Linked DNA regions of Arabidopsis thaliana. The protein of the gene in region 3 interacts with the protein of the main gene of each other region in a biochemical or structural test. Each region holds a gene or a part of one and is shown on either strand. Other genes may lie near its edges. The genes, in order: GPRI1, HY5, GBF1 and HYH.

Region 1 (8,534 bases), on a different chromosome or scaffold from region 3:
CTGCAAACATAGCAAATGTAATTTTTAAGCCATACCAATATAAGAATTGTTAATGACTTGAAATCAATGATGACATACTTTGAGATCAGAATCAGCCATTGTTTCATGAAACGCTTTAAGAGTTCCATAATGGGGACGCAGAAACTTTAGTGGTTTGGGAACTGAAGTCATGGAACTTGTTGAAGCTCGGATTTCCTGCCTACAAAGCCAAATAAAACTCTAATTAAAAACATAAACATGTACACCAAGAGCAGAGAGAAAGAAAAAAAGCTTTATAAGTTGTACAAGCTTCAGTGGCAATAATCTGAAAACCCGAAGCTGATCAAGTCAAGAATTACCTCATGCTCTCAAGGGCAGCCTTCTGCAATTCCGGATTAGGATCCTGAACCCTCTCAACATAGAGCTCAAGGTTCTGCTTTAGTTCCAAGTCCTCTTCAGACTACAATCACAACCCAATGTAAGTCGAGTCATTAAGAAAGTGACCATATACAAACAAAAAAAACTTTCCTCACATCACAAGTTAACAACTTTCTAATCCGGCTAGTCTAATGACGAACAAAACACTCACTTTGCCAGATTAAAAACCCTAATTCTATAACACCCCTACTTCAACTCGATCGAGACTCCAATTAAAAACCTAACTGCAGATCTTACAGATTTGAAATTAATTCGTTTCTGATGAACCCAGATACTAAACACGACACACAATGTCGAAAAAGGATTCGATAAATCAAAAAACCGAGAAAGAAGAAACTTTACCAAATCCTCATCCTTTTTCTCGTCCTTCTTCTTGGGATCCTTAGACGGAACCTTCAAGGTAGCTTCATCTTTCTTCGCACCGCCTCCGACACTGTTGGGATCCTGAGTTGGAGCCATCTCTACAGTAACAGATCAATCTAAGGAACCCCTTGTAAAAAGCTTGAAATTTGAACACTCAAACGAATCGAGAAGCTTGTGCTTGTGCTATCGAAAACTCTCTGATTGCAGGAATTAAAACAAAAAAAACTCTTCTGCAACTCTCTAATCAAAGCACAATAATATATGAAGAAGAATCTAAATATTGGAATCGGAGAAGATAACCCCTCGATCAAGATTTCTACACTATAGAATCAATCAGCCCATTACAACCTCTTTTTCAATGTCACAGCCCATTAACCGTATTGGGCTCATTTAGTGAGTTCTTCTTACATGGGCCCACATGTCTAAAATTATTTATTCATCATATTTCTGTATGGTTGAACAAACATAATTTATCCTTATGACAGTTAATTTATTTCACGTTTGAAGAGGATTTCGACATATTTTCATTCTCTTTTCGACCGGTCGCAGACAAAACTGCAAGACAAGCTTTTCTTTCACAACCTAGTGAAGTCATAGTTTCGTCTAATTCACTGCATTGGATCTGGTCATTAGTAAAATTGTTGAAATATCTCATGATCCTTGTAAATTCAATATTGACAATTTTTGACCATCTATCTCATGGTAATTTAGTAGTTGAAATCTTCACCAAAGAGTTTATAGAGACCATGGTTTTTTGTTATTTTCACTATGATTTTAGTAAAAGTTAGCCAATGTAGATGTAGGCACCAAAAACTAGTGTGCATTTCGATTTGGAATGTCCGGTTAGAACAAAAAAAAATGATTTGTCTTCATTATCTTCGACCAAAGTCCTTTAAATTTTTGAATTTGAACCGAGTATTCATTTTGGTTATATTGGATTTTAATACCATGCATGTAGGGTTTGAATATATTTACTTTTGCCTATAAATACGTACTTATAAAAAGCATATGTGTACAAGTGTGAGTGGAAAATGAGATGCTAGTAATAGTATCCGCATGTATATGAATTATCAATTATGAAGAGAGAGGGACCATTCAAATTTGAAGGAGACGAGAGAGAGAGAGAGAGAGTGGTCACAATTGGAGAAAGAAGAGGTCGTTACGTTGGATTTTACGTTGCCTCCATGCACTTCCTTCTCCTCTTATCTCGTGGTCCTCTCCCTCTCTCCTCATTATTATTTTATGCCATTGTTCTCTCAATCCCAACAATACGTTTTTATACGGTAATATATGCATGGTAAACACACAATTTCATTACTCATTTTTCACCATATATAACCGGCTGGTATTTTTAAGTATAAGTTATGTTTATAAATTATAAGTGTATATATACTCGTGAGGTTGTCCTCTTTATAATCAATTGGTCGTCGTTTGCGACTTTGCTTTGAACGCTTCCAATTTCCATATGATCATTTGATATGGAAATTTGTTGTGTTATGTTTTATAAAAAAACTTTATATAAGCAATCAAGTTCTAAATCACCAATGGTTAGAGAAAATATAGGTAATTTATTTGCGTTAATAGAGCTAGAGTGTACTTAGCACCCTAGATACATATGAAAAGGGTCTCCTTATTAGTCACATGGGACGATTAAGTAAAGAGTAACTCTTAACACAACAAGGGTCAAAACAAAAACAACCCTTGGAAAAATAAAAGTACAATAATTGAAAGACATGTCGTCGAATTTTTGTTTGGTTCTCGCTTGCCTACGGATCTTGTGCGTTTCAGGCACAAGACGCGGTCGGAGGAACCTCAGAGACACCGTGACGGTGAAGCTCTGTCATAACACCGTCAACAGCCGGCGGATTTAATCCCAACGGAAGTGGCAGCCATGGCCTCGTCAATACATCTCCTATGGCTGCATCCACGCTCTCTTTTGACTGTTCCATTTATAATATATATACACAAAAAGTCAAAAATACATAATTACATAATCAAATGCGAAAAGTCAAAACTCGACAACAATCAATTCATTATATTAGATTCTTACCGGATGTAAGTCTACCGGAGGACGAGCACCACCAAATCCAAGATTTGGTTTGTACATCGTGTGATGCGGCGGCAGAGCATGCGGGATTCCGGCAACTGGCGGTGCTCTAAATCTCTATACAATTACCAATCAAAAATACGATTTAAAACATATATATAGAAACAAAAAGGGGTATACATACGGAAACAATCTTATAAATGTTGGTTCATTACCGTAGCTACGGTCGGTAAATACGGAGTCGTCCCGTTATGCATCTACATGCAAAAATGCTGGTTAGAAAGACAAGCATATGATAAAAATACTCGGTGTCATTCAGCTTTCATAATGTTAAATACTATGATGAAAACAAATATGATAAAGAGCTAAAGTAAAGGTTTCATAAATGTGGGAACTTACTGGATGCCAATAGGGAGAATCGGAGACCCAAAACGGCGGATTAGGCATGGCGGTAGAAGGCGGAGGTAAGTGTTTGGGCCACACATGCGGCATAATGGACTGATCAACCGTGGGATGTCCCCACACATGCAGGGGCCTAAAATGATGGTGGTGGACAGGTGGCGGTGCAACAGCCACGGGTGGTGGTGGTGGAAACCCGAGAGTGGGTGCCGGTGCAAGCCATCCATTTTTAGTCCGACCATTAAGATTAGCACCGGTGTCTACTCCATAGATATGCCTTTTGCGTGTCCAATTAGCCGCTTCGGCCTCACGAGCTAGCAAATGTTTCCGATGAGACCTATATTTCTAGTATACCAAATAACAGCAACATGTTAATTTGGATGGTTAATATTAGAGAATGAAATTGAAAAGAAATATACTAACTTGGAGGTGACTAGCAACGTTGTGACGAGTGAGACAATGGACTCCCATAAGCTCCAGAATTCGAGAAGGAACAGCTTTGTCCACTCCTAACTGTTCCACTGCCTCCACGAATCTCCTGTGTAGCTCTGGTGTCCAATCCACCTTCACACACATCCCAACATATATATAACCACCATCTTCATTATTTTTTCAATACTTTTTCACATACTATATAAAATTCACAATTAGCAGCTGACTATTTTACATAATTTGAAAGAAAAAAAGTCTTATAGAGATGCACGTGATGTCTTTACACGAGTCTTGTAAACATGACTGAAATATGAAAAATTTAGAAGATTTAGCAAGAAAATGAATTCTAAACGAATAATCCACTTTTAAAAAAAATACGAATCCATTATAGACCTGTTCATTTAATCGAGTCTAGCTAGGGTTTTTATTCATATAAGACTAATGTTTTATATATAGATGATATGATTAAAATCATTACCTTCACCTTTCTCTTCCCTTCGTTGTTACTGATCCGATTGTTCTTGGAAGAAGCTGAAGAGGAATACTTCCTTTTCCGGTCACTGTCACCGTCATAAGTCACCGTCTCCGCCGCAACATCGTCTCTTTTGCTTACGACTTCTTCACCTTTCCCCGAACTACCCTTAGTAGTCTCCCCTTGACTATCAGTCTTATCCGACGTCGTAGTAATCGTTGAAGAAGCGTTCATGTGATTGGAGAAATCCCCGGATAAGATCTCAGGGTCGATCTCCAAGTCAGGAAGCACATCTCCGGCCACACCGAATATATCGTCGAAGTCAATGATGTCAAGAAGATCACCGTGGTCAGCGAAATCCGGAAACTCCTCCTCCTCCTCCGGGTTTATAATCGTGAATCCACACGACGTATCAAGAAACTCTGACGCTCCGTCGCAACCATCTCTTGTCGCCGGAGACAGAGCTAACATCGATCAATCTTCACTTGTAGATCCAAATATAATCGTAGATAGAGGTTTATGTATGTTGTAGATAGGCTAGACTTAATTAGAATAGAGAGCAAGACATGTTTTGATATCCAAAGTAAGTCTCTTTCTTCTCCCTTAAAGGCAAATATAATTCATTTTCATTTATATGCTATATATAGAGAGAGACAGAAAGAAATCCATCACAAAAATATATATATATATATATACTAGATAAGGCCCGCCTATTGAGGCGGGTGTACCCGAAATTTTCAAATACTCGAACAGATCTAAACTTCAAAACCCAAAAAACTCGAACCTGAACCCGAATACGTATCCAAACATATTTCAAATATAAATATATATTAGTTATATTTATACTTATATATAGAAAATATTAGGATTTTTTGGATATTTTAATTATTTTGTGTATTTTTAGATATATTCAAGCAAAACTACTCGTGTTGTTTTGGGAATTTTTGAAATTTTCAAGTAATTTAATAGATTTGCACACAAAATTTGATATTTCAATATATAAATAAACTCAAACCCACCCAAACCGAACCCGACCCGAAATCTTAAATTACCCGAACGGGTCCTAAACTTCTAAACCCGAAAACCCGAACCCAAAATACCCGACCCGAATACCCAAACGCCTAGGGCTAATAATTAATAAAAAAAAGAAATCCACAAAATATTTAGAAACCAAACATTGTTGAAAATATATTTTCTATATATGCCGTAATCTCGTAAGTTAATTTTACATCATGCAAATTAATATTAAATGAGTTAAAATTAATAAATGAAAATAATTGAAAAGTTAAATCCTATAAGATAAGCTATTTTTCTCAAAATGTTCTATTTTCACTTATGATTACATGAGTTAAAGACAAATTTGTTAATTTTCCTTTTGTTGAATAAATGTTAATTGTTTATAAATATATAGACATATAAATTAGTATATGTAAATTTGTTTACTTTTTAAGATTTTCTATTTAATTTTAGAGAATAAAAAAGTTAAATTTTGAATGATACATGTAAACATCTGATCGTTTGACTTGACACGTGACACAATCTTATGAGTTAGCAACTTTAAAAACCATACTTTATATAATAAGATATATATATATATATATGCCTAGTTCTAAATGTGGTAAATAAAACATAAATTTTTTTTTTTTTACTGTTTAGATAAACATAAAATATCGACAACAAGCTCAAACATATATTTAGGCAACTCTTTTAGCGAATCTTTTTCCCTGTTTTGTTGGTAACACAAAAATTTAAGTGAAGTTGTTGCCAAACTGGATCAGAGCCACAACTTTAAAGTTCAATATCTGATTGTCGCATTTGTCCCTTTACCGTTTTGGTATCTTGGTTTTGGTCTGTCCCAACATTATTGATCAATCGGATGGCATTTCAACGGTTCTATGTCACTATGTAAAAGGTCTATGCTGGTCAACTTACATGTAGATGGATGTAAATAATCAATCCATCTACCGTATCACATACCCCTTATATATTGACGTGAATGAGGCTCGCAAATTAAGCTGTGGAAGATGCTCTTATAAAAAAGGACAGAATTGTCTCATTAGGTATAAGTGGACATGCACGTCCTATGGGTCCTCAAGAGCTACAATAATTGTTGTTGCTCGTTTCCACATCACATTTTTTGAATCGAATTCACGTTCACAATATTCGTACGGCATATATATATATACATCGTGAAGGAAGAAAATTGTAAGAAATTCCACATACTTTCAGGCCCTTATAGGCTAACACAACTCTATATATATTGAATGAGGGTTTTCTCAAAGTCAAGTACTAGAGTTCCAAATATTTGCTAGATATATGCGTAGGCTCCTTTCTATAAATGATGGAGTAATTTATAGTTGAATATTTGAGTGGTTTTGTTGCTACCATTTATGAGATGATCTGATGATACTTTTTAATAATGACTTAATCTTCTATATAACTGATTTGGTTTAAGATAAAGAAAAGGATAAAGATTGTTTCATTTAGAAACCGAAAATAAATAATTATTGGAGTTGTTGATTTTGGAATGATCTAAGATCTCACAGTCAGCTAGTTCAGTCTACGGCCCGACACTCTGGTTGGTGAGATGTTGGATCCCTTCTCCCAGCATGGAGTTACAGTGAGTTTTCATAGTTTTCTTCTACTATTGGAATATTAAAAACTAGCTAAGTTTAAATTTCAAAAATAACAGAAAAAGCTAGCTAGCCAATAAGTTTAATATATAGGTCAATAAAATAAATCTATGAGCTCGAGTAATATACAAATGTTATATTGAATTGAGTATTGAATCTCTATATAGAGATGGAGATGAAAAGCTATATATGTACATTAATTTTGAAACTGATATTAGAGGTTTGACAATCAGTGGACGTGAAGGGCCACCACACCCACATGTGACTTGATAGCGACTAGAATGGAAATGATATCATGTGTGTTTGTAATTAAAAATGAAGTGCAACTTTCGTAAAAGGACTACTGGTCATTAATTATGATTCCAACACTCATCATCTTTTTCGCTGTAAATAGCATATCATATGTATATATGTACTTGGAACGATTCTCCTGTTAACTTGGAAATAGCTAGGGAAAACGGTCTACTAATTTCGAAAATCGCCAATAGAAACAACAAATCAAATTCTTGTGAAAATAGGCTATAAAATTCAGTATCCCCAAATTAAAAGGCCAAAACTTTTATTTGTTACAAAAATAATGGTAATAGATTTCAATTACAAAGACACGAAAAGCAATCGATTTCCAATTAGTTCTAACAAAACATTCCATTACGCAGTCATTAACTTTGGAGCTGGTGTTGGAGCTTCACCATAACCGTTTTTGTGTGTGTGTGTGTGTTTACGTTTGCATGTTTATGTTATAACATAAAGTTAAAGCACAAACACAATTACAAAAACGTAAAGAAAAAAACGAAGAAGACCAATGCTTTGTTGCGGTGGCAACTGGCAAGAGACCACAAACGCAACCGCGTGAGTAAACTTCAATAATTCTTGCTTTGTAAAATTTCATGAAAAAAATTGTCACTGTTATCACAAACAATTAAACCAATATTTTGATTCAACTGGTGGAGTTTATTTTCGTTATTATTTTGGTTAAAATGAAAAATCTATTTTGTTGTGGATGAGCTTGTGGTGAGCAAACTTTTGTCTTTGTTTTCAACTACTAGTTGGGACCATGAACTGAAAGCTACAGTTTGAATTCATTTGCTGTTCCTTTCTATTACTGAAAAACATCTCTTCATTTGATTTTCTTAACGGTAATAAATAATGTCCGAGTTTCTCGTGGGATAATTGATGATACTCCAACAATCAAGTGCTTGCCGTTTTCATCGACTCAATGGGGCACTTGTAAAGAAAAAAACTTGGGTCAGAAATAGTAAGCCTCATAACTTAAAATAACCCAAGAATAATGAAGCTTCTAAAATTTTGGGCCAGAAATAGTAAAAGACCAAATGTTTGATGATGAAGAGACTAGAGAGATAGACTATGATCTGCCCAAAATAAACATTTTAGATCTCGTGAATAACTATGGCCTCAAAGTGAAACGGTTCCAACGTCGTTAACCGGTTTTATGTAAAACGAAAATCTTCCTCTTTCTGATTTGGTTAACCGTTCGGTTCATCCAAATCGAACCCCATGAACCGAACGAAACCGAAAACCAAAGGAGATCAGAATTTGTTTTTATTTTTATTTTACATCAAGGGAAATCATAACTGATTTGGTAATGTTTTTGGATCTGCATCTGCTGCATAAATTTTTATGATTGATTCTTTGATTATTGATTTTAAAAGTCAAACTTATCATGAATTTCGTGTGGTTTGTTGTGTAGCTCCTGGTATTGCTATGGCTTAACGAAAGTACCTATGGCTATGGCTATGGCTAACAAGAAGCA
Region 2 (7,725 bases), on a different chromosome or scaffold from region 3:
GACATAAACATTTGTTGTAATTGCAACTTTGCACTGTAGTCATCGGAGCCAGTTGGTCTGGTATAGTTTGCTTTGATATTCTCCATAAAGACACTCAGTTGGAAACTGTGGGAGAGTTGGTTGTATACAACTCTGGCAATTGTGGTCTTCCCAATCCCAGGAGGACCCCAAATCCCAATTATCCTTACTTCGTCTGTGTCTAGGCATAACAACGGTTTCATCTTTTCTAAATGAGCTCTCATCCCAACTAACCCGTCGAAATCACGTGAAGGAGTGGAATTAATCAATATGTTCGAAATATCAGTGGCGATTTTCTTGATCATGGCCGCTTCATTATCCCTAACAATTAGGTGGGGGAGAGAAAATTACATTTAGTAAATAACCATGGAAATATCACACACATTCAAAAACGAATTTCTTTGATGGGTTTTGTTTCAAAGCTAAAGATGTATATAGTTTACGAGCAAGTAGAAATCATAAGGACTAACCAGTTGATTGAATGGTAACCAGCTACTGTGGCCACTTTTTCCCAAGCTTGTCTCCATCTCCCAATGTCCTTCTTTGGTTTACCGGCACAAGTTTTTCTAAAGACTTTCCCGAAATCTCCGGTCAGATTTTTTACATCAGAAGGATCCACTTTGTAAAATATGGCCATCACAGTTTGACCATACTCTTCTCTGCATTTCATAATCTCCACCAGTTCGTCAAGACACCATTTTGAAGAAGCATAGTTCCTAGAGAGCAAGATAATTGCTATCTTAGACCCTCTAATAGCCCGCAGAAGCTCAGGACCGATGGATTCTCCTCTTTTAATCTCATTATCAACGAATGGAGTGATTCCCATTCTTTGAAACTCCATCTGAATGTGACTGAGAAAGTCTCTACGGACATCTTCCCCGCTGAAGCTGGGAAAGACTTGGTGTGTCCAGATGCAAGACGAAGAAGGTGGAGGAACTGATGAAGGAGACAAAGAAGATGGAGATGATGAAGGAGATAAAGAAGTTGACTTCTTTTCTTTGTTATCATGATGGAATCTGAGTTTTCTCAAAAGGGTGAAGAAGCCTATTGCAGCTGCAACAGTGGTAAGGAAAAACGAAGAAGCCATAAAATTAGTAGGATCAGTATCACAGTTTTCTTATCTCTTTTCTTGCAGTCAACTATCACAGAGCTTTAAAGAGGCTCTGTATACAGTGAAAAACGTTGACTCCAATCTCCATTGACTGAGAATGTTGAAACTATTACATATATACCCCAAATTCTGGATATTTCTCACAGAAAATTACAAGAACGGGTCCTACATGAGCAACTAGCAAGAGAAGAAGCTTCGTTCAATAATGTTTCAATAGCAAAATGAGGTCCAACGAAAAAAAAAAACTAAATATAAAATCATAAGAAGCAAACAGCAAAAGGAAAATTTAACCTCACAAGCATAAACAAGACACAGAATGTAAGAAACAGTAAAAGGAAAGATAATGTAGAATGTAGAATCATAAGGATTTTTCATTGGTTGTGAGATTTTGATTCTAAGAGGAAAGCAGCAACTAAAAAACTCAAGATAAATTTCAAGAAAGCATTGATCAAAATCTGAGTTCCATGACTTAAAATACTTACATTGCTGTTCACTCCTCAAGCTTTCTCTTTGTCGGATTTTTTGCAAATTGATCAGCGATATTGATGATATGAGAGATTTCTCAGGTAAAACGTCAAGCCTTTGCCTCACTTCCTGTTCGCAAGATGCTAGAAAGCGAGATATTAGATTCTCTATTCGCCTGGATATACTGATGACTCTCTTCTTTTAATCTCATTATCATTGAATGGAGAGATTCATTTTCTTTGAAACTCCATCTGAACGTGACTGAGAAAGTCTCTACGGACATCTTCCCTGCGGAAGCTGGTAAAGACATGGAATGTCCAAATGTAAGACAAAGAAGATGGAAGTGGTAAAAGAAGGAGAATAAATTTTTCTTTGTTAACATTGATAGAATCTGAGTATCCTCAAAAGCATGAGAAATAATGTCAAACAATCCATAGTACACTAGCAACTAGCAATAGATGAAGATGAGATCCACGAAAAATCTAAAATAGAAAACAAAGAATCAGAAAGCATACAACAGGTAAAGAAATGTACGATTTTGTCCATGAAATTCGGTTGTGGCAACCCGATTCTAAGAAGGGAGCAGCAAGTTCAAGGTAGCAGTGACAGAAAACAATGTCTGGATTCCATGGATTTTAGAAAAAGGAAAGCAAAAGTGTAAGAAAACACTTACATGATTGCTCATCTCTCGAGCTTGACAAGCTTTGGCTGTAAAAGATCGACCCTACCCTCTTTGTCCGATTTCCGCATAATATGATCAACGGCATCTTCGTTTACAAATCCATGGCGACTTGTCTGTAAGAAATCGGGAGGGATAGGGGCAAAAAGGAAAAAAAAAAGAGTAAAGATTCCACTATCCCAGAATTTGTTTGGGACTTTGAACTGCGGGAATCGAAAACGCAACCTTTCTACTACAGTGTCACAATGTCATATCATAGAACAAAAATTAGCTTATTTTTGTTATAAAACAACATTATGTTTCAATTAAGAGAAATCTAAGACTACAATAAGAGAACTTGGTCTACAATTGCAATATTAGCTCTCACATCCCATATAATTTTAACATGATAATTATTGATACAATTCTCTGTAAATTTTATCCACAAAAATATAACACAAGAAGAAGAAGGAGATCAAAGGCTTGCATCAGCATTAGAACCACCACCACCTCCTCTCTTGTTTCCTGTTGTGTTCTTCAGAATCTACACCACATAAAAAACATAACAACTCAAAAGACTTTATTACCACACACACACATAGAGATCCAACTTTGCAATCTCATCTTCTCCATTCATATAGAACAAAATGAGTGAGCATTTCAAGAACCATTGAAGAATTTACATGCCTTTTGAGAGAATATGCGAGTGAATGACCATTTCAAGAACCTACATGCCTTCTGAGAATTAATCTAAAGCTTAAGTTAGCTTCTTAGATCCTTTTAACTAACTAAACTAATTATTGGTCAATCCTAGACTCGTAAATGTGATAAACCAGTACTGTGATATATCAAAAAACAAATGGCAAAAGCATTGACGTTGCAGGTTAAGTCAACAGTAAGATCGACAAAACGTACATGTCTAAGCATCTGGTTCTCGTTCTGAAGAGTAGAGAGTCGCTCTTCAAGTTCAGAGTTTTTGTTCTCCAAGTCTTTCACTCTGTTTTCCAACTCGCTCAAGTAAGCCTTTTTCCTCTCTCTTGCTTGCTGAGCTGAAACTCTGTTCCTCAACAACCTTTTCACCACAAAATTACCAAACAACCCCATCACGCAACCGTTATTTAACATAATCACCTTCCATATAAAGGGTAAAAATGTAAATTCAATGAATAGAGAAAAAGACACCTCTTCAGCCGCTTGTTCTCTTTCTCCGCCGGTGTCCTCCCTCGCTTCCTTTGACTTTCTCCGACAGTCGCCTGTGTCCGCTCCTGACCGGTCGCCGATCCAGATTCTCTACCGGAAGTTTCTTTTCCGACAGCTTCTCCTCCAAACTCCGGCACTCGCCGTATCTCCTCATCGCTTTCAATTCCTTTAAAACATAAAAGAGACTTTAGACGAAAAGTTTCAAACTTTTTAAATACAATAAAAAATTGCAGATCTTCTGGGGGAGACTAAAAGTTGTGAATCTAGATGTGAATCAATGGTGATACAAAATCTAGATGTGAATTTACTAGATATCCAATGCATGAGAATGAAAATCAATGAGATCACTCGTTGGGAGAAGATATGAAAATAAAACAATCGACAATTTTTGTTTACCTTCTTTGATCTCCAAATGTGGAGCAGAGCTTGATGACCTCTCGCTGCTTGATGGTAAAGAGCTTGCAGCTAAAGAGCTAGTCGCTTGTTCCTGCATTTTTCTTACTCTTTGAAGATCGATCAGGCGAGAGAGAGAGGGAAAGATTTGTTGTCTTAGTAGCGAAGCTGGTGAAAAGGATAAAGAGGAAAAGAGCGGGACTTGGGATTTACAGAAGAACTTGGAAAGAATCTAATTGCGAGACATTTTGGGAAGGAATAGATTACTCTGGCTACCGCCGTCAGATCTCTGAAGAATCGAACGGATATCGAGAGTGAATCGTGGAGAAAGGTGAGCCTTGAGGAAATACAAGGATCCAAAGGCAATTGAGATTGGAACGTGGGTGGATTTTAGCCGTTAGATCTGGTTAGCATCTTACGGTGAATAATGGATAGGGGAGCTAATTGGGTGGGCCCCATTCCTGTCCTTGGACAGAAAAGTTTGGTCTGAGTTCTTTCATTCTGTCACATGGCCCACGCCTAGGGCAGTGCTTTCAAAAGTGTCGTGAAAGTAATTTATTTTATTTTTGGTGATTTGTTTTTGTCATGCATTAAAATTAAACTTTATAGCCGCCATAAACCAAACAAAGTTGAAACGGTTTTCTACAAGACACAATCTCAGCAAGGAAATAACTAAAAACTGAATACAAGATATCCTAAAATTTCATAGTCCAACATATCCAGCCACACCATTGGACAGAATCTACTACTATAAACACTCCTCGTATCACCAAAAAAACTTGTCCTTGACGACAATGTTGATGAGTTTCTGAGAATCAAGTATACAAATCATTGCCATCTCAACGTTAACATTAGATCAAACCGGAGCTTGATATGGAGCTCGCTTATCTGGAACTCCGTCTTCTGCTCTTTTATCTTCGAACCACTTCAAAACTCGCTTCCTTGGAAGATTGGTCACTTGAACAATGCTGCTAACCACAGCATTCTATTCACAGCATCATCAAACATGATCATATGTGAGATAGAGCATTCAAGTAACATAGAAATTGATTCAAATGTAAAAGGAGAATCCTTACAGTGGGTCGTTTTGATCTTCTGTAAACTTTCTCTAGCGTTTCAATGTGAGCTTTCTTCACTCTTTTCTGAGCAGACCATCTCTGTTGCATCACATGAACTGCTTCATCTTTTACTTTTTCCTTAGGTTCGACCACAACATCTTCAGCTGATAATGATTCCACAGGACTTGGATCAGGTGAGGAGTTCTCAGGTGCTGCTACTGGCGGTTTTTCATCTGGTAGTGTAGCACTTAGCATTAGCAGCTTTGGAGGCGGGTCACGAAGCAATTCAAGAACATAAGCCCTGTCAAGACAAACCTCAGCTGCCAGATTTTTAATCTACAGATCACAACAAAACCATCCGTTATCAATTATGCATTTGAAAACCAGAGAACTACTTGTTCTTTGTCAACTCTTAAACAATTCGTAAGCAAAATCTCCAAAGCAGACACTAACTCAAGCACTATGCTTTACACAATGTATTCAACATCACTTCAACACTGAACTAAAACTTACACTAGTTTTACGACGCCCAGCTTTCAATGCATAAGCCAGTCTTTTAAGCTGCCAATTCTTCAGCTTAGTCGGTCTTTCATCTTCTTCGCTGTCATCATCATCATCATCATTATCATCATCATCATTATCATCATCATCATTATCAACATCAACATCAACATCACCAGTGACTGAACCAAACAAGTCGATGTCATCAACATCGTCACCAACACCCAATGCTCGAGCTAACTCATCGGCTAATGCCTCTAACTCTTCCTCACTTATCTCCTCATCATCCGAGTTATCATTCTTCAAATCTTCTTCTAAAAGATTAAACAATGCCTCAAATGGATCCTCCTCCTCCTCACCTCCTCCATTATCAGCTCCATCCAAACTTTTCTGCCACAAACCATGAAATCAAAGGCTGATACAAAATCAAAAAGAGCCAAAGTCTAATTCGAGGATTCACCAATTCTAACCGATAATAGCTCACTTAGTTAGTGTATCCAAATTCTAGTCAAATTCGGCGAAAGCAGCAGGTAAGAGCAATTGCGAACATAAATCATTCTCATTCTGATTTTCTTACCTTTTTGTTTTTCTTCGGAGACGAAGAAGACGAAGACACGAATCCTTTTCGATTCTTGCCACGAGCAAAAACAAGTACAGACCGAGACGGATTGAGAATTGGAAGAGATAGACCACAAGGACTAGCGTTCCGATTCCGAAACAGAACTCTGTTGACGGATAATCCTGACGACGAAGAAAACGACGGAGGATGAAGATGAGAGACGACGCCGGCAGAAGATAGAGCCATGGCTTTTATCATCAAAACTGTTTGCTGTTTTCAGCAGCAGTGAGAAAAATAATCGGATTTTTATATGAATCTTTGTAAACGACGTCGTTTATCCCTTAAAGATCTAAACACTGACTCCGTTTTGTGTTTACAGTGTAGCAAAGCGTGTCGTTTATAAAGTATTTATTTTGTTCTTCGTCGTTATCGTCTGGTAACAACGGGTCCACTCTGCATCTCTCTCTCTCTCTCTAGATTTGATTTCTTTGCGGGCTTGTTAATGGCGAACCCAGGGCAATCAAAGGGATGGATAAAGAAATGGACGTCTATGGCTTCATCGGTTTACTTCGTCTTGATCTTATTCCAGATCCCTCTCTTCAGGTAAATTCATACTAAAACAAACTCTCAGCTGCGTAATTCGAACCCTATATTTCGTTATCTAGTGATGCGTCTATGAATCCGATATGTGGACGACGCTTAGTCTTTCTCTTGCGTAAGGTTGATTAATGAAAAACTTGATTTCTGATTCATTTTCAAGTTTCCGCATTTTTGTGTAGCTGGTTTTAGTATGAAACTCTAAGCTGATTCAAAATTTTATCAGTTGATTAGAATCTTAATAATATGGATCATTAGTCATTACTTGGTTTGTTTGTCTCTCTGGTTGATCTGACTTGAATCGTAATCTTAAAAACAGAGTTCCATGTAGATCTGGTATGTGTTCATCGCCAATCCATGTGACATCGTCTCAGTTGATTTCTAGTGAGATCTTTCCTGTTCCGATGATTAAGGCTCTCTTATACCCTGGTGCTGTAGTCAATGGCCTTGCCATCAACATGACATTTCCAAAGTGGGAAAATGTGTTAGATATCTACAATCTCACCAATGTGAAAGAAGCTTCTGCAGTGACCGATCTTCAACGCCTAGAGGTTCGCTTATTCTATCTCAAGAGCTCCTAACACAGTTCACTTAAGATTCTACTAATAGTCTCACAAGTGATACATTTTGTACAGGTTCTTGCAGGGAGCTACTTTTCTGTAGCTGGGGCGTTTGTGGGTTTGCTAAAGCCTGGAAGGATGAGCATGTTTGGGTCATTGCTACTAGTATGGGGTCTTGTTAAAGAAGGGATCTTAGGGAAGCCAGTAAATACTGACCCAGCCAAAACTGTTTATGTGTACCCAACTATGGTGCTTGCGATGATCTGCGCTTTCTCTATGATAAAGTATGACTTGAGGAAAGCCACGAGGGCAGCTCCAGCTCGTCCCATTGCTAAACCTCTAATGAGCTCTTCAAAATCTAAGCTGAAGTGAGTTTTTTGAGACTTAATAGGGCTTGTGTCCTGTCTTTGTACCAACACCCGGGAAAGGAAAATGTCCCGGAAAATGGCATTGTCACTATATTTTGCTCTCAGTTACCTTATGTTTCATGAATTGTCTATTTTCTAGGACACTGCTCAGTAGTCAATATCTTCCAATATCAAAAAAGCACATAAATACGAAAATTGAAATGAGTAGCAATACAAGGGGTTCCAATGAAAAACCAT
Region 3 (8,983 bases):
AGGTCGTTGTATTCGTGGATAGTGAAGGATGGACGGAGATCGCCGGATCTGGATCATTCCGGCGAGAGTTTGTTAGCGCTCTTGAGTTCTACACGATGGTGCTGGAGTCGCTCGACGCTGCAGCTCCTCCCGGAGATTTGGTGAAGAAGATAGTGGAAGCGTTCGTTCTACGACCGAAGATCTCCGCTGCGGTAGAAACGGCGGCTGACAGGAGACACACCGGCGAAATGACTTGGCGGGAAGCGTTTTGCGCCGCCGGGATGAGGCCGATACAGCTAAGCCAGTTCGCCGACTTTCAAGCTGAGTGTTTATTGGAGAAAGCGCAAGTTAGAGGATTCCACGTGGCGAAACGACAAGGAGAATTGGTGCTGTGCTGGCATGGAAGAGCACTTGTTGCCACATCAGCTTGGCGGTTTTAGATAAACCGGGTTTGGTTTAACAATATGATATAGAATAGAATAATTGTATTTACCGCCTTTAATATCTCTTTTCTTTTTGCTGTTTATCTTTCAAATAAAGAAATAAAAATATTTCTTACGAAGAGTCTCTGTATGAGCTAGAGTCTTTTAATGATTCATAATCTCCTCTATTCAAAACACAAGTGACCTTTTTTTTGCGAGTGTGCGAGTTCGTCGTCAATTTGGTAAAACCGTCGTACGAATCGCCGATGAGCGGGTTTGCTTCACAGATTCCATCCATGGCGCTTCTTGGATCTGGACTCACCGGCGAGGTAATCTTCCTTTAGTTTGATTGATGTTTCCGATTGTACGGCTTTTGTTCCGATCCGTGATTTGGGGATTCGTGATAAAGTTTATGATTAAATATGTATATTTAGGATTCCTTCATCTTCTGCCTTGTTGGAATTCAGATTTCTTCTGTACTGGATTGTTTTTTTGTTTGGATTACTCTTTGACAAAAGCCGATTAGAGAAAGAGGTGTTTCAATTCCTGATCATGTGGATATTCTCAACTTTTGGATTGAGAGAAACAATTGTTTTTCTCAATGGAATTTTCAGGTTGGGTTGCGTGTATTGTTCTCTCCACTTAGTTCCAATATCGTACTTCGTACAGCATGGTGAGTTTTTTTTATTGTAAGGTGAAGAAAGCCATATAGTTGCTAGAATCAATGGTACAGGTAGACGAATGAATTGGAGGAATGATTTGATTGGTGAGATTGTGATCTGATTGAGTGATTCTCATTACATGTGAAGCAATGGGGTAGGGAGGGAGTTTTTTTTTTTTTTTTTTTTTTTGTTGACATAGTTATTAACTTAGCCGAGTGGACAAGGGTTCTATTCTACTTGTTGTGATACTTTAGGGTATCTTTTGGACAAGGGTCAATCTATTGTTGGGGAATCTGGATTCTTTTTGTTTTATCCGAGTTTTTGGTTATTTTCTCTATTAGAAGGTGTTATAGCTGTAGTTGACTAAAGGATTCGGTTATAAAGGACACGTTTGTGTGGTATGTCTGAAACTTGTTTCCTGCAGCTGCTCCATTGGCATCGGTTTGCCTGTGTACTCTACCTTCAAGGCAATTGAGAGTGGAGATGAGAATGAACAACAAAAGATGCTTATTTACTGGGCAGGTGGGATATTGTTACTGCAATTGTTATGACCTTTCTAATTGCTTTCCTTATTCTTTGACTGTTTATCTTCAATAGTTTTTTTTCAATCTCCCTTGGCCTTCTTTCACATGGAATTTGATGGGGTTTTTTCTCTATCTTCACCTTCTTTGCAGCTTATGGTTCTTTCAGCCTTGTTGAAGTGTTCACGGACAAGATCATTTCCTGGTATGATTGACATCTTGAAACTATATACAATATCTTGATGGTTTTGCTGTTATGTTAGACAAATAAGATATTTCTTCTAATGGACTTTATCGAGAGAAATGGCTTGATTATCTCGATAAACTCGCAAAGTATTGATACTCAATAACCTCGATTATTTGCAGGTTCCCGCTGTACTATCATGTGAAGTTTGCGTTCCTCGTCTGGCTTCAACTCCCAACTGTTGAGGTACCTATCGGAATCTCTTTAAACCATCATCTAACGAGTAGGCAGCTTTAACCCGTGGTACTCATCAGTTCTGATATTCTCTATATTCTTATTTGCCGACAACAGGGATCAAAACAGATATACAACAACCAGATCCGTCCTTTCCTCTTACGACACCAAGCTAGAGTGGACCAACTTGTGGATGGTGTATATGGGGAAATGGTACACGATTGCTTTCTTTTGAACTCCCTTATTCTTCAGTCACTTTTAACTAACGCTTTAAAACAAAACAAAAAACTGCAGGTGAAGGTCGTTAGGTCACACCAAGGAGAAATACGGTTTGTCCGAGCAATGATTGCCAAAATCTTGGGATCAGGTTTGTTTCGGAACTCTAATTTTCTATCTTTAGTGTAATACTTTGCTATCAGGGTATTGAACTGACTATTTTATTTGTACTTGCTGTGTTGTTCCAACAGTCAACGAGGATGCACCACGACTAGGAGAAATAGCAAATGGTAGCCCCGTTTCAGAAACAAACTCGGATTCAGAATCCGATTCCAATCACGAAGACTAATAAAACAAAGTGTAATCGTAGCTTTTGCAGCTTCTACAGTCTTGTAGGTCAAATCTCTATTACACAAAAATGTCAAACGATTGTATAGTTACGTAATCTCAAATGACTTTGGACTCAGTTTTTTTTATCCGGTGTTGAAAAATCCCAATAATCCGTTGTAAAGTTCCAATTTTCCTAAGTGTTAATTTGTTCCTTCACCATCTTTCGACCCAGCAGCATTCTGTTCTAGATTAGCTACAGCCTCTGCTCCAAGTACTCTCTGCAACTCATCCTGCATTATTCCATGACTCTAGTGTAAATGCAAGCCGATAGAAATAAGATAAAAGTTGGAAAGAGTATGATTTTCGCAGAAATTTTTCCGGATAAAGAGTTTGTCACCTGGATTGAGTTGTTCTCAGACTTGAGCTTATCACATTCGCTTGAGAGTCTCTGTAGCTCATCTCTCAGGCTTTGATTCTCGTTCGACAAACTCTCTACTCTTTGTTGAAGTTGTTCGCATTCGGCCTATTCGAAATGGTTTATTATGGAATGAGTAAATTACAAGAAGCAGACAGAGTAAAATGATACTAACACACAAATGCATATTACCTGCTTCCGCAATCTAGACCGCCTAGCGGATTCACGGTTAGATTGTTTCCTCTTCTGCCGCTTGAGCTCTCGTTCATCCTGTTGAGTAATCAGAGGATTTTGTAAGGAAGAATGTAACGAATTCGGAAAAGCAACCTTGCAGGGTGAAATGAGGAGTTGGTCACACCTTCACTGGTACACCAGCTTGGGAAGACCATAAGTCCATCCCGATATTCAGATTAGTCCCCGGGGCTACCGGCTTCATGGGCACCGAACCTTGGATTTCACCAGTCGTACTTTGAGAACTTGCTGTTCAAGGAAACTTTACCAAGTCAAGAAACATGGAAAATACATGCAAAGAAAAACCATGAAAACTGCAGCGGTCAAAAGCATACCGTCAGCAAGCATCTGTCCAAAGCTTGGCTTTCGAATTGAACCCTGTTCCTACATTAACATGAATCTCAATGAAGCACATCACAAAGTATTGTAGCAACAGAGAACACTTCAAACACATAACAGTACCTGTTGATTGGCATTCTCATCATTTTCATCAGATGAACCCGCTGTGACACTTTCATCACTGCACAACGGAAAAATCATAATTACATATGACACTGCAATCAAACTGAACAAGCACCACGTTGAGTAGAGTGTTATAAAAATCACCTATGAGAGGCACCATCGTTCCCTGAACCAGAGAGCGCTTTATCACCTCCTTCAGCCTTTTTTTTCGAGTTCCCCTTTGACTTCTTGCCAGAAGCTTGGTCCTTCGCAGGCTCCTTGTTGGTAGGACCAGAATTAGGAGGCTACAACAAAAGAAATGTCGAGCAAGTTTTTTACTTTCTCATTTATCTATGCATTGCCATGTAACAGAGCAAAAAGCTTTCAACGATAGCTAATGTTGTATTAATGGTATGGAGATTACCATGGGCATGCTAGGATGAGCATAGACTGCCCCCGGGGGATACATTGCTGGGTACGGAACTGGGGTGCCATAAGGCGGCATCATATGGTGCTGAAAGTAATGCAAAACAGAGAAACTCATTTAGTGTTATCCAAAGAATAAGATGCAAACTTCTTTTTCATAGAATCATATCAACAACTATACGATACAAAACTTACTTGAGCACCCCACATATAGGGGTGAGGACTAGGAGATCCAACTGGGGATGGGAAAAAAGGATTTGGAGTACCTCCTCCGCCATAATAAGCCTAAAGAAATAAGCATATACTATTATGTTCAGCAGTCCCGGTGTTTTCGAGAAAGTATTCACTTACACTATAAAAACTAATAGTGACCAAAGTTGTACATGTAACACGAACCTGCATTGAATTTTGCCAATCTGGATACGGTGTGGGAGGAACTTCCTGAAAAAGAGAGAGGTAGATACATCAAACACCTTAAAATATAAAACAGAACAAAGATGTTGAAAAGAAAGGAGAAGAGAAGGATTAACCTGAGCCGAAGATGTTGGTTTGGTAGTCTTAAATGGCATCTTGTCTTCGCTCGTTCCCATTGTTTTATAAGCTTACTACTTACTTGTGTTACTCAAAACTATAAACAAAAATCAAAAATCTTAACGATAAATAGTAATCATAAAACATCAAAACTAAAATCTTTTGCTTTCAATTATAACAATCAATGACTTTAAAACAGAACAAGAGTAAGGGCACTGTTCTTTTGCTTTCATTTATAGCAATCTAAAATCTCTAAGCTTCGAACCATGCATCAGTATTTTAAATCACACACACACACACAATTCAAACTTCAGAAACCAACACTCAACGAATTCTTAAGCAGAAAGACAATCTCATACTTGTGAATCATCATCTCCAAAACAAGCTCTGTTTGCATAATTGATTAAAGAATTCAATTCAAGTACAACAGAATCAGTTACATGCAAAGGTGTTTGTTTGCATATGAGAAATTAAACGAGAGAAAAAGTTAGAATAAAAACAGAGAAAACAGACCAGCTTCTAATTGAGTAAAGTGATGTGGAAGTCCAGCTAGGATTTTAATAGATGCCGACACGTCCTCTCCGACAGATCAGACAAAACTCCGGCTCCGAAGAAGAAGAAGATTAAAACTCCGATTGTTTACTTTTGTTAGGGTTTTATCTCTTTTGCTGCTTCATTGAATCTGTCGGAGAGTTTTTGATTGAAGATAGCAAAAAAAACAAAGGAAAAGAGGATTGGGATTTTCCGATCTGGTGTGGCAAAGTCCGATAGGAGGAGAAGAATGCGAAGAAAGAGGAAAGTTTTTTTTTTCTTTGGGATTTTAATTTTAGGGTTTGATGATCTGACACGTGCGACAATGAGAGGTCCAGCTGTACACGTGTTACTGGATAAGGTTTTGACACGGTAGCTACAGTTGGTGTGACTCATCTACTCATTTATTACAATCAAAAAGGATATTCAATTTATTATCATTATTAGCGATCTAATTAAGTACATGAATATTAAAAACATTTAAAATATATTTTGATGTAAATTGATAACTGTCAAATTGTCAATGATAAAACCCTTTTTACATTTATATGATTTTTTTTTGTAGATAAAGAGTCTTTTTTCTTAATTTTGTTTCCCGTTGTAGTGCATAATATATTATGTTAATTGTTTGTAATCTTTTTCTTTAACAAGAAACTAACCAAGTCAAAGCTATTTTCTAGGTTTGCATGTTTGTGTCATTTTACTGAAAAAAAAAAAAAAAATAGTAGTAAGTTTTTTAACGTAGAATATTAAAATTTGCTACAGTTGTTGATATTAAATCGATAATTTAACTTATCGTTAAGATTTAAGAACTAATCAAACATGACGACAAAAAAAAAAAAAAATCAAACATGACGACGAAAAAAAGAGAGTCAACGTGCATCAGTTTATTCAATTGCTAATTAAAAACAACTAATATCCGAGACAGGCCCTTAGTGTTTGTCAAGCTAATTTGGTGGAATCTTAAGCCCATTGGGCCTACTTTAATAAGTCCCTAATATTATTGCAAACATACATTTTTTTATAGGTGCCAGGAGCAAGCCAAGATGTCTCCAACGTCTTGTGATTTTCTGTTTACAAATGAAACAAAATAAAAATCTAAATATGACTTATCAATAGTTAACTGATTGATAGCAAAATTCAGTGCATTCTTAAAAAATCGGTTTTCTTAGGTAAATATAGCATCTATCGTAGAGCATTAGTATTACCATTACGTAGTTGATGTGATGGATCACCATATCAAAAGGTCCAAGACTTTTCTTTATATATATACAATCTCATCATATGACGACTCAAACAATATAATACAACACACTATATACAGTGAATGTGTTGAAAGTGGTTACGAGTACTTAAAACAAACCCAATTTAGAAAGAGCCATAACGTTACGTTTTCTTTACACTTCGTTTTCTATATACCCAAAACTAAATTAAATCCTTCGCTTATTCGCCAAACACTTCTTCGTGGGTCCATAGTTTCTAAACTTTACGAGACCATAATGTTTTCGATCTATAATTTTAATTAATTAGGATTTAGTATATGTCTAAATCAAAAATATCTTAACGTCAATCAAAATCCAGAAGACTCTAATCAAAGAATCTCTAGTCATGTCCAAGAAAACTTTGATTTTCAGAAAATGCACTTGTACAGTTTACAATTACTGGAAGAGGTTTTAATCAAAAGAACATCTGATCTTGTCCAAAGACACTTTGATTTTTCCGTTGATTAGAAAACGATGTGTTTTTTCTAACATTTTGAGAAACGCATGATACGTGGTAACTTTTGATGACTAATACTCTCATTTTATATTATGCGATCAGATCACTAATAAGTAATAATGATTACGTGATGAATATATTATGTATAAACCATAATATAAGCTTACACATTAGTTGTCAACCGATCTATAAAAGTTGACTCAAAATGTTTTACCAGAATTAGTTATATTTTATCCGAACTTCTCTTTTGTATAAATCGGGCAAACTCTTATCCATGGAGATAAAAAGTTTTAACAAATTTGCTCATCTTATCTTCATGTGCATGTCATCTAGTCCTTTGTCTTCTACAATTTTAAAAGTAAAGGTTTTTCGAATCTTGCAGCCGATACTGCTTTTATGGCCGCACTTTTTTTTTCGTTAGTGAAACCAAATTACAGTTTACTTATTATAATTAAATCCTAACGAATTCATATATATTTTTCTTAGAAATTTAATTCAACAAAGTAGCTAATTTTTTTTAACTACTTAAGCAATTTTATATTGTTGCTTTCATAAAGATAGCCAAATTACATTAGCGAGAAACTCATCGTCAATATATTTGTACATTAGAAATGCAACAGTTATATAATCTAGTAAATTTACTTAGAAATATGCTTCCCTAATTCACGATACTAACTTGATATAATATTACATTAAGCTAGTAATTTATATGTATAGACTCATCCATTCCGCTTCATCGATGTAACTATTTTCCGGCACCGGATAAAACAAGTGATCATAGTCATCGCCATCATCTCCGACTTTATAGTCTCCAAAAAATGGCGTTTCATTAGCTTCGACGGAAACGGAAGACGAAATTGGACTGTTGCTTGAGCCTCCTTCTACTCTTTCTGCTAATCTTTGGATTTCCCTCTCTGCATCATAGAGTTGTTCTTTGAGCTGAATAACCTGTTCAGGAAAATTATTGTAAAATTAATCATTACGTAGCTTAAATCACCGATGCAAGCATCTGATTACACTTAAATGGTGTTTTTAGTCAGTGGGCCTACTGTTGAACTGAGCCCATTGACAATGACAAGCCACTATTAAGAAAATAAGAACATTGTACGGAACATATAAAGGTGTATATGTTGTGTAATAAGGTGGCATTATACTGTTCGATATCAATATTTTTTTTGTTATCAACTTCACTTTCTGTCTCATTTATTGAATTTTCTAATTTCTTCGAGCCTTGAGCTCACGTTCATTTATGCCAAACAATAATTATCTAAAGAATTTGTTTACCTTTTACTATGCAATTGAGTGTAGGAACAAGGTGAAAAAAAAAAAAAAAGGTCGGACGAAAATTCTAATTACTATTATGAAAAAGCTTGAAAAAATAGCCGATTCATGCATAAGTTAAACGTATAGCATTTTCCTTAATTATCTATGTAGATTTAAAATTTGGATTGGAAAAAGTTTTTTAATATATCCCTTAAGTAATCATTATCTCTACCCATATTTATTATATTCATAATGAAAAAAAGAATAGAGCAAGAAAAAAAAAAAAAAAAAAAAGTAGAGCATGAAATGGAAAAAAAGAAGAAGTAATTGAAACATTAAAAATAAGAAATACCTCAGATTCAAGTCGGCACTTGTCGACAACGACGTTATCATGTGAGTTCTTGAGTTTATTGTACTCTTCCTCGAGCCTTTTGTTCTTCCACCGTGCGCGACGGTTCTGAAACCAAACGGCAACTTGACGAGGGTCAAGCCCTAGCTCTGCCGCAAGTCTATCTTTCCTCTCCGACTCAAGTTTGTGTTCATCCCCAAAACTCATCTCCAACATGTTCACTTGTTCATCGGTCAGCTTCCTCTTTCTAAACAAACCGTTGCCTCCATCTGCGGAAGCCACGGATCCTTTGGTCTTCTTCCTCCTCCGCTTCGGCTGCTTCACTTCTCCTACTGACCAAAAGCAGAAACATCTTAAATAAAGTTTAGATTGTTCTTGATGTGTGTTCACACTTCACATGCACGTAGATGATACCAAGATTTTAACTAGGCTTATGCGTATTAGTCGAGAACTTTTTTTCTTTTAAAGACTCATGCACATAACATAATCCACTTGAATTCTTATATATAACTTCTTCCACAAAATTTGT
Region 4 (6,786 bases), on a different chromosome or scaffold from region 3:
TATTTCTTGCTCTGTTTTAATTTTACATCGGAGAGATTTGGGCCGCGTCTTCATTTGCCGTGTTACCCTATGGATGTAGATACTGTGAGTCTTTCTAGTGTTAGAGAAGAGCAACTTGCTGTGTTATTTCAGCGTAAGGACAACTTACATATGGAGATTTGGGTTACGACTAAGATTGAACCTGAAGAGGTGATGTGGAGCAAGTTGTTCTTAGCAGTGGATATGCAACCACTCACTGATTTTAAGTTTGGAATTGCAGATGCGAGTTTCATCATTGACGAAGAGAAGAAAGTTGTTGTAGTCTTTGCTAAAGACAAAGATGTAATGTATCCCACTCACAACACAGCTTACATCATTGGAGAGGATGGATATTACAAAGAAGTGGATCTCGGAAAAACTACTGATAAAATTCGAGATCCACTTGTGTGCTCGTATGTTCCAAGCTCAGCGCAAATCAAGCAAGGAGGCAAAAGGAAGAAAAAAGGGAAATTGATTACTGATTAACATTTATATCTTGCTTTGTGATCTTCTTCTTTCAACAAAATTTGGTTTGAAATAGGATAAAATTTTGTTAAAATCGAAAGTCTGTGAAACTGTAAGTTTGGTGTGAAGATACTATATTATCTGAATCACTCGCTACTTTCAGCAATCTAATCAAAGGACCAGTTCACGTAGAACCAAATCTTCAACAACAAAAGAGAAGACAAATTGAAGAAACAGATCGAAAAACACGACCACTAACTCTGCTATTCATAAGCTAATGCAATGAATGATTCAACAAAGCTTCATTCACAATCCTTCCTCAGCTTTAAGAATGCGCTCCCGAGATCAACTAAACCTCTCTACTCTTCGACGGCGCAGCTCATCTAAAGGGAGATCATTAGAAGAAGAAAGTGCTGGTCCCTGATTCAGTGACCATCCATTTCCTCTAGCCCGTCCCGAGCCACACATCTCGCAAGCACTTAACCAACCAGAATTGTCATATGTACACGACTGACATCTCCAAATACCAGGTCCTGCTATCCCAGTCTGACCTCTTCCCACTCTTCCTCTCCCCGTAATCCTCCTTCTCCGAGACCTAACCATACCATTCAGAAACCTCAAGGGCCACGTCACCAATCGAGATACACCTCTAACCGCCATAGTGACTGGATCTGAGCCTGAGTAAGAACCTTTCAGCTTCAAATAGATAATACCAGCAAGGATTCCACCCAAATGCCCAAGAAACGAAGCGTTAGGTACAAACATCTGCACTAGAATCAATTCTGCCCAAGCAGCATACTTTGTTGGAACCAAGATACCATACACACTTGAGTAATCCTCAGCTTGAGAATTAAGAACAACTTTCATAGCAAAGAGAACACCCGAGAACCCAACCGCATACTCGTTGTAGTAAGCTCTGTCATAGTCAAACAAGAGAAGAAGCGATTTGGCTAACAACAATGTGACTCCTTGAGACATACCAATAAGAGTAAAGACCATTGAAGCAAACTCACTGCTTCCCATTGATGTCTCAAGCTTGATACCTTTCCAGAGAAGTGACATCATGTTATAGACTAAGTGAGGCTCGTTAACATGGTAGAACGCTGATAGAAATAAACGCTTCAAGTCCTTATGCTGTTCAACAAATACACATCAAGATTAAAAAAAAAAACTTTAACAGAGAATAGAATTAATCAATCAAGAATGATCTAATTAGATATCGAAGAACAAAATCCCTAATTCTCCAGATATTGGTACAAATTTCCCAGGAAACTCAAATTCGAATTTCAGATCGAAATCGGTCAAATTGCAATCAATTTCTCTTGGCGAATGAAGGAATTTATTAAGATTGGTTTACCTTGAAGATGAGGTGAGGATTGAACCAGACCTCACTGATGTGAGGAATAACGGGATCGATAAACGCCGGCCTGAGATAAACGAGAGTGTTCGCGGCCAGGAGACTCGCCGTCACCGGTGGTTTCCACGGTAGTCTATAGTACTCCGCGACGGCGCTTAGAGCCAGCAACGGCAACATTCCGCCTCCACTTCTTCTCCCTTCACCAAAATTCTCCATTTCTTCGTAATTATTCTTTTCTTCTGATCTCTCTGAATCACTTACAAGTAATTAAAATCTCATCTCTTTCACAATATTTATATAGCAGCAGCTTGGTCTCTACGAAAACAAATTCTCCAGAGACTTCTTCGTTTCACTCGCATAAGAACATGTGGGACCCACCACGGCATTTTAGAACTCTAGTTTTTATACCTAATCTCTTCTTGCCTTTTTTCGTTTTTTTTTACTTTATTTTGCAAATCTGAATGACAATGATGCTCAAAGTGAATGTTATTCGAACAAAAAGTGTATACAAACCAAAACCAAAAAAGAAAGAAAGATAATCATACAACACTGAACAATGGATTAAAGGGTAAATATTTAGTGATTGTCATCAGTTTTAGGCCTTGTGTTAATAAGCATTTTACGAAGCATTGTGTTCTCGTTCGTCAAAGTAGAAATCTTCTCTTCGAGCTGGTCATTGTTGTTCTGTAACTCATTAGCTCTTGATTCCAAATCACTCACATACACTTTCTTCCTCTCTCTTGCTTGTTGCGCTGATACTCTGTTCCTCAATAATCTGTAATTTTTCACCACAGTTTCTTTTTTACCATTTCAATTCCACAAATCGAATGCTAAGAAAAAAAAGTTTTTTTACTCATCATTGATTACCTCTTGAGGCTTCTATATTCTTTATCAACAGGGTTTCTTCCACGGCGGCGTTTAGCTGTAGAGACTCCATTTTGAGTCTGGTCAAGCTCCGGATTGTTGACTCCATCGTCGGCGCTGCTGCTTAGAACACATGTTGATCCAGCTGCTTCCATGTCAGGAACCATCAACAACTCCTCATCACTTTCCTCTGAGAATTATACAAACCAATTTCTCTAAACCAAATTAAGTTAAATATTAGATAAGTTTCTTTCAACACCTACCAGTTTTGTGCTTCTTGTGGGAAGAAGACGAACTCGAGTTCCCATTGGGTCGTTGGAGAGACATCAATATCTTTTTGTCTTTTGAGATTTTGCTAAAGACGAGAATAGAGAGGTAAGAGGTTGAAGAGAATATCAAACCAAAGGAAATTGCATCTTTTCTTTCTTCTTTGGGGCCACTCAAAGTCTGCAACTCGTTTCAAACAAAAAAAAAGAGAAAAGTATTGGTTGGCTTATAAAAGAACACGTAGGTTTATGTAAGACCACAAATGCAACTGTTTCAATCCAATGGTGTGTATCTGTGTTTTCTTTTCCACTATATCCCGTTGAACTTATTAATTGATTTATTGTTCTGTTTTGCTTTTAAAGTCTTTGTTCATGATTTCTACGGAAAACAACCTTTAGTGAGTATTCACAGAGCGTGTGGGTTTAGGACAATAATTACTGTCTAGAACCATACAAACGTACTTGCAGACAAAGTCAGAGGCACAACTATGTGTGTGTGTATCTATTTGCATGGCGTAATAGGCATGCATAAACTCATCATGTGGTCATATATCTCGTTTTCTATTTTTTGGTACACAAATAACTCTTTTGTATAAAGACAGCTAACTAATGTTTTGAATTTTTAAATGTTATCTCTTAAAATTAAATTCTACCAATTGTAAATTCAGTCAATCATTCCGAAGCATTTTTTCATGCTTTGTGATTCCGCCATATATTTTCCCATGTTCTTTTTTACGTTTTTCATCATAATTTTAAAGTTTTACGATTTTTTGTTGTTATCAATGAAAATGGACCAAGTAAACTTCTACCGTAATGGTTGCATATTAGATAGTGGACTTATGCGCGCGCGCGGAAACAAAACTTGGCCGGTTGAATCGTCGTCTGCCTGGCATCTAACAGTTTTTTCGAACATTGTCATAATCAATATATTGAGGGATGTTAATCATGAAGTCGTATGGAATGGACGCGGGAAATCACTCATAAACAATGTGAACATTTTATAAGGTTATAAAGAAGAACAAGTTTCATCCTTCTTTTGTATATTTCGACTCATACATATCTTTCTATTCAGGAATAAGTATAAAACATAATATAACATGTGGCATATCGACCGACCAATACATCTTTCCCAACCCATGATCAACCTTCTGATTGTGTTTTAATTTATTCGTCATGAAATGGATCAGAATACTCATGATGAGTTTGTGTATCACTCAAGGGACCCCTTGTCTTAAAATCAACTAAAATCATTTGATGTAACTTTTATACGAAGTACTATCCAAATAATTAATTTTCATAAGCAGCGGACATTCATTTTGTTTGTATGACTATATGATTTTATTATTTGAAGCTGTATGCAAACGTGGAGATATGATTGCATCTTTGTCTATGCATGAACATGCCACGTTAATTTAGGAGTACATATCATGATATTGATCTCTCTTGCTATAACTTTTTGGCACAATACTATTGCATGCCTCTCTATATTACTTCAACAAAACGTTTAAATTTACCATGGTTAGAACTTAGAAGTAATCGAGCTGCAAACCATGGTGATCATATTTTTTCTCGTTCGCATGCTCGGTCTTAATATATTGAGAGTTATGGCCAAAATTTGAATACCATTTTAAGAAACTTCAGAAAATCAGGAGTTTGATTATTATCTTTGGTTCTTACTTACTTCAACGAAAACTAATGACAAAACTCTTTTAAGTCGAGGTATGCGAGTAATAACTCCTTGGACATATTTTTTTGATAAAAGTTTAATTGATTATAGACTTATAGTAGTCTTAATTATTATTATAAGTATAAAGAGGAGTAAACATTCATCATTAGACTACTAGACATTATAAAGTTATATATATCGAAATTCTAACAAGAAGGATCCCTAGAGACCAGACATGCATGTCCAAAGACAGATCGTATAATAGCTAATAGGAGTCTTATCGATCCAACATCCAAGGTAGGCTTTATTACAAAGTAACTATTAGAGTGCACTTCCCATGATGATTCTAGAATCTAATATTATTATCAATACAGCCAATGAGCATTATGTGATGTAACAATTTATGTCTACTTTATATTTTGAAGTTATCATAAATCAACGAATTCTATTTTGATTTTCAAAAAAGAGTAAAAGATTTGGGCTTCTAAGAGAGACAATCCACAAAGCTAAAGAGACATTAACAGGAAACGTATAGTTAAAGAAAAGAACACTGTCTGCTCCACAAAAACAATATACACAAAACTCTTCAAGTCTACCTTATTTTTATTGGTTCTGCAATTTTCAATGGTCTGTTACATTAATGTGTCATAAGAGACAATTGAGTTTTCTTATCAACAGAAGGGTCTAAAAAATTGATCCCCCAAGTTCATAGTCTATAGACTCAGTTTTTTTCTTTCAAATATTGATGTGTAAGAAAGTGAAAGTGATGTGATGCTCTGTTTCTGTTTACGGCTAGACAATAAAGCCTTTTTTGGCCCTTATCTCTCCTAATTAAAGAATCTGAGCAGTTGAGAAATTAAAATCAAAGCCTTAACAGATTAACTCCAACATCATTTAGACACACTTTCCTTGGATACCACCTTTTTACGGAAACTTCGAATCTTACATGTAAACAAATCTCAAAACCATAATTTCACATTTTTACTACTAACTAACTCCAAAGATCTAAACCCATGAATTAAGTATCTAATCGGGTAATTATTACAGTGGTTTTCAGAAATCAATGTGTGTTCATATTTAGAAGGTTGAAAGTTCATAGTTAAATGTGGGGAACCTTATGTTCCTATTATTTATTTATATTAAATTTCAAAGTCGATTAAATCAATTTTTAAATTCAAAATCTATGCAATAGAATCACCTACTAGTCCTTTTTTGTTTAACTAGACAGAGAGAAATAGAAATAGAGAGAGAGAGACATGAAGAGCACTCTCAATAGAGAAGAGAAGGAAGCATGAAGCTAGCTCTGCAGCTTCAAGGTCTCATTAATGGAGGTCTCTAACTCTTGTTCTTCATTTTCTTCATCCTCTGTCGACAGTACTAAACCTTCTCCTTCTGAATCTTCTGTTAATCTCTCCCTTAGTCTCACATTTCCTTCTACTTCTCCACAAAGGTCTTATTCACATCACTTCTCTGTTTTTTCCTATGTTCTGTTTTTGCTCTGTTTTCTTTTGTTCACATTTGTGTTTTAAATCTTTATTTTTTTGTAGAGAAGCAAGACAAGATTGGCCACCGATAAAGTCTAGATTAAGAGATACACTAAAGGGTCGTCGTCTTCTTCGTCGTGGTGATGACACTTCTCTCTTTGTTAAGGTTTATATGGAAGGTGTTCCCATTGGAAGAAAACTCGACCTTTGCGTATTCTCAGGCTACGAGAGTCTATTAGAAAATCTCTCTCACATGTTCGATACTTCAATCATCTGTAAGTAATTAATGAACAACACATAATTCCGTAAAAACAACATTCAACTAAATTCAAACAGTTTGAAGTATATCCATGCATTGTCTTGGCTATAACAGGCGGTAATCGAGATCGAAAACATCATGTTTTGACATATGAAGACAAGGATGGAGATTGGATGATGGTCGGAGATATTCCATGGGAGTATGAATCTTATATCTTGATCTTACATTGGTATAATTTCCTCGGTTATAGCTATTCTCTAATTTTTGAAATCGATGTTTTTGTTTAGTATGTTTCTTGAAACCGTGAGAAGACTAAAGATCACGAGACCGGAGAGGTATTAAAACTTGGATCGGTCAAGGCTGTGATTGCGCAGTTACGAGACGTGTAAGATTTAGGCATTGATGAA

Evidence for each region.
Region 1: the proteins of GBF1 (region 3) and GPRI1 form a complex in vitro, tested with the Arabidopsis thaliana proteins (one study listed by BioGRID).
Region 2: the proteins of GBF1 (region 3) and HY5 form a complex in vitro, tested with the Arabidopsis thaliana proteins (one study listed by BioGRID).
Region 4: the proteins of GBF1 (region 3) and HYH form a complex in vitro, tested with the Arabidopsis thaliana proteins (one study listed by BioGRID).

What each region holds. Positions count from the first base shown.
Region 1 is NC_003071.7:8,851,553-8,860,086, reverse strand, and holds GPRI1 (GBF's pro-rich region-interacting factor 1), read right to left. Parts: upstream 4,730-8,534; 5' UTR 4,602-4,729; coding exon 4,137-4,601; intron 4,070-4,136; coding exon 4,022-4,069; intron 3,791-4,021; coding exon 3,650-3,790; intron 3,572-3,649; coding exon 3,227-3,571; intron 3,085-3,226; coding exon 3,043-3,084; intron 2,945-3,042; coding exon 2,831-2,944; intron 2,721-2,830; coding exon 2,565-2,720; 3' UTR 2,331-2,564; downstream 1-2,330. Other genes in the region: RPN1A (26S proteasome regulatory subunit S2 1A), read right to left, coding at 79-199, 339-439, 760-876. UniProt on the Arabidopsis thaliana protein: Transcriptional activator that functions with GLK2 to promote chloroplast development. Acts as an activator of nuclear photosynthetic genes involved in chlorophyll biosynthesis, light harvesting, and electron transport.
Region 2 is NC_003076.8:3,590,856-3,598,580, forward strand, and holds HY5 (Basic-leucine zipper (bZIP) transcription factor family protein), read right to left. Parts: upstream 4,149-7,725; 5' UTR 3,946-4,148; coding exon 3,849-3,945; intron 3,619-3,848; coding exon 3,435-3,618; intron 3,325-3,434; coding exon 3,063-3,324; 3' UTR 2,940-3,062; intron 2,797-2,939; coding exon of another isoform or gene 2,728-2,796; 3' UTR 2,506-2,727; downstream 1-2,505. Other genes in the region: AT5G11250 (Disease resistance protein (TIR-NBS-LRR class)), read right to left, coding at 1-339, 489-1,105; OCP3 (overexpressor of cationic peroxidase 3), read right to left, coding at 4,702-4,830, 4,922-5,239, 5,417-5,794, 5,982-6,221; AT5G11280 (tail fiber), read left to right, coding at 6,466-6,566, 6,880-7,111, 7,196-7,492.
Region 3 is NC_003075.7:17,307,102-17,316,084, forward strand, and holds GBF1 (G-box binding factor 1), read right to left. Parts: upstream 5,388-8,983; 5' UTR 5,106-5,387; exon of another isoform or gene 4,690-5,105; 5' UTR 4,652-4,689; coding exon 4,592-4,651; intron 4,503-4,591; coding exon 4,458-4,502; intron 4,347-4,457; coding exon 4,257-4,346; intron 4,150-4,256; coding exon 4,060-4,149; intron 3,941-4,059; coding exon 3,801-3,940; intron 3,715-3,800; coding exon 3,657-3,714; intron 3,579-3,656; coding exon 3,530-3,578; intron 3,444-3,529; coding exon 3,322-3,443; intron 3,234-3,321; coding exon 3,156-3,233; intron 3,072-3,155; coding exon 2,946-3,071; intron 2,839-2,945; coding exon 2,749-2,838; 3' UTR 2,568-2,748; downstream 1-2,567. Other genes in the region: HAM4 (GRAS family transcription factor), read left to right, coding at 1-419; HVA22K (HVA22-like protein K), read left to right, coding at 668-730, 1,016-1,074, 1,488-1,585, 1,738-1,789, 1,951-2,014, 2,120-2,215, 2,297-2,369, 2,470-2,567; HB40 (homeobox protein 40), read right to left, coding at 7,548-7,790, 8,458-8,786. UniProt on the Arabidopsis thaliana protein: Binds to the G-box motif (5'-CCACGTGG-3') of the rbcS-1A gene promoter. G-box and G-box-like motifs are cis-acting elements defined in promoters of certain plant genes which are regulated by such diverse stimuli as light-induction or hormone control.
Region 4 is NC_003074.8:6,020,216-6,027,001, reverse strand, and holds HYH (HY5-homolog), read right to left. Parts: upstream 3,159-6,786; 5' UTR 3,032-3,158; coding exon 2,968-3,031; exon of another isoform or gene 2,895-2,967; coding exon 2,708-2,894; intron 2,616-2,707; coding exon 2,417-2,615; 3' UTR 2,292-2,416; downstream 1-2,291. Other genes in the region: AT3G17620 (F-box and associated interaction domains-containing protein), read left to right, coding at 1-504; RBL14 (RHOMBOID-like protein 14), read right to left, coding at 829-1,617, 1,841-2,056; IAA31 (indole-3-acetic acid inducible 31), read left to right, coding at 5,962-6,086, 6,184-6,395, 6,494-6,578, 6,667-6,721. UniProt on the Arabidopsis thaliana protein: Transcription factor that promotes photomorphogenesis in light. Acts downstream of the light receptor network and directly affects transcription of light-induced genes.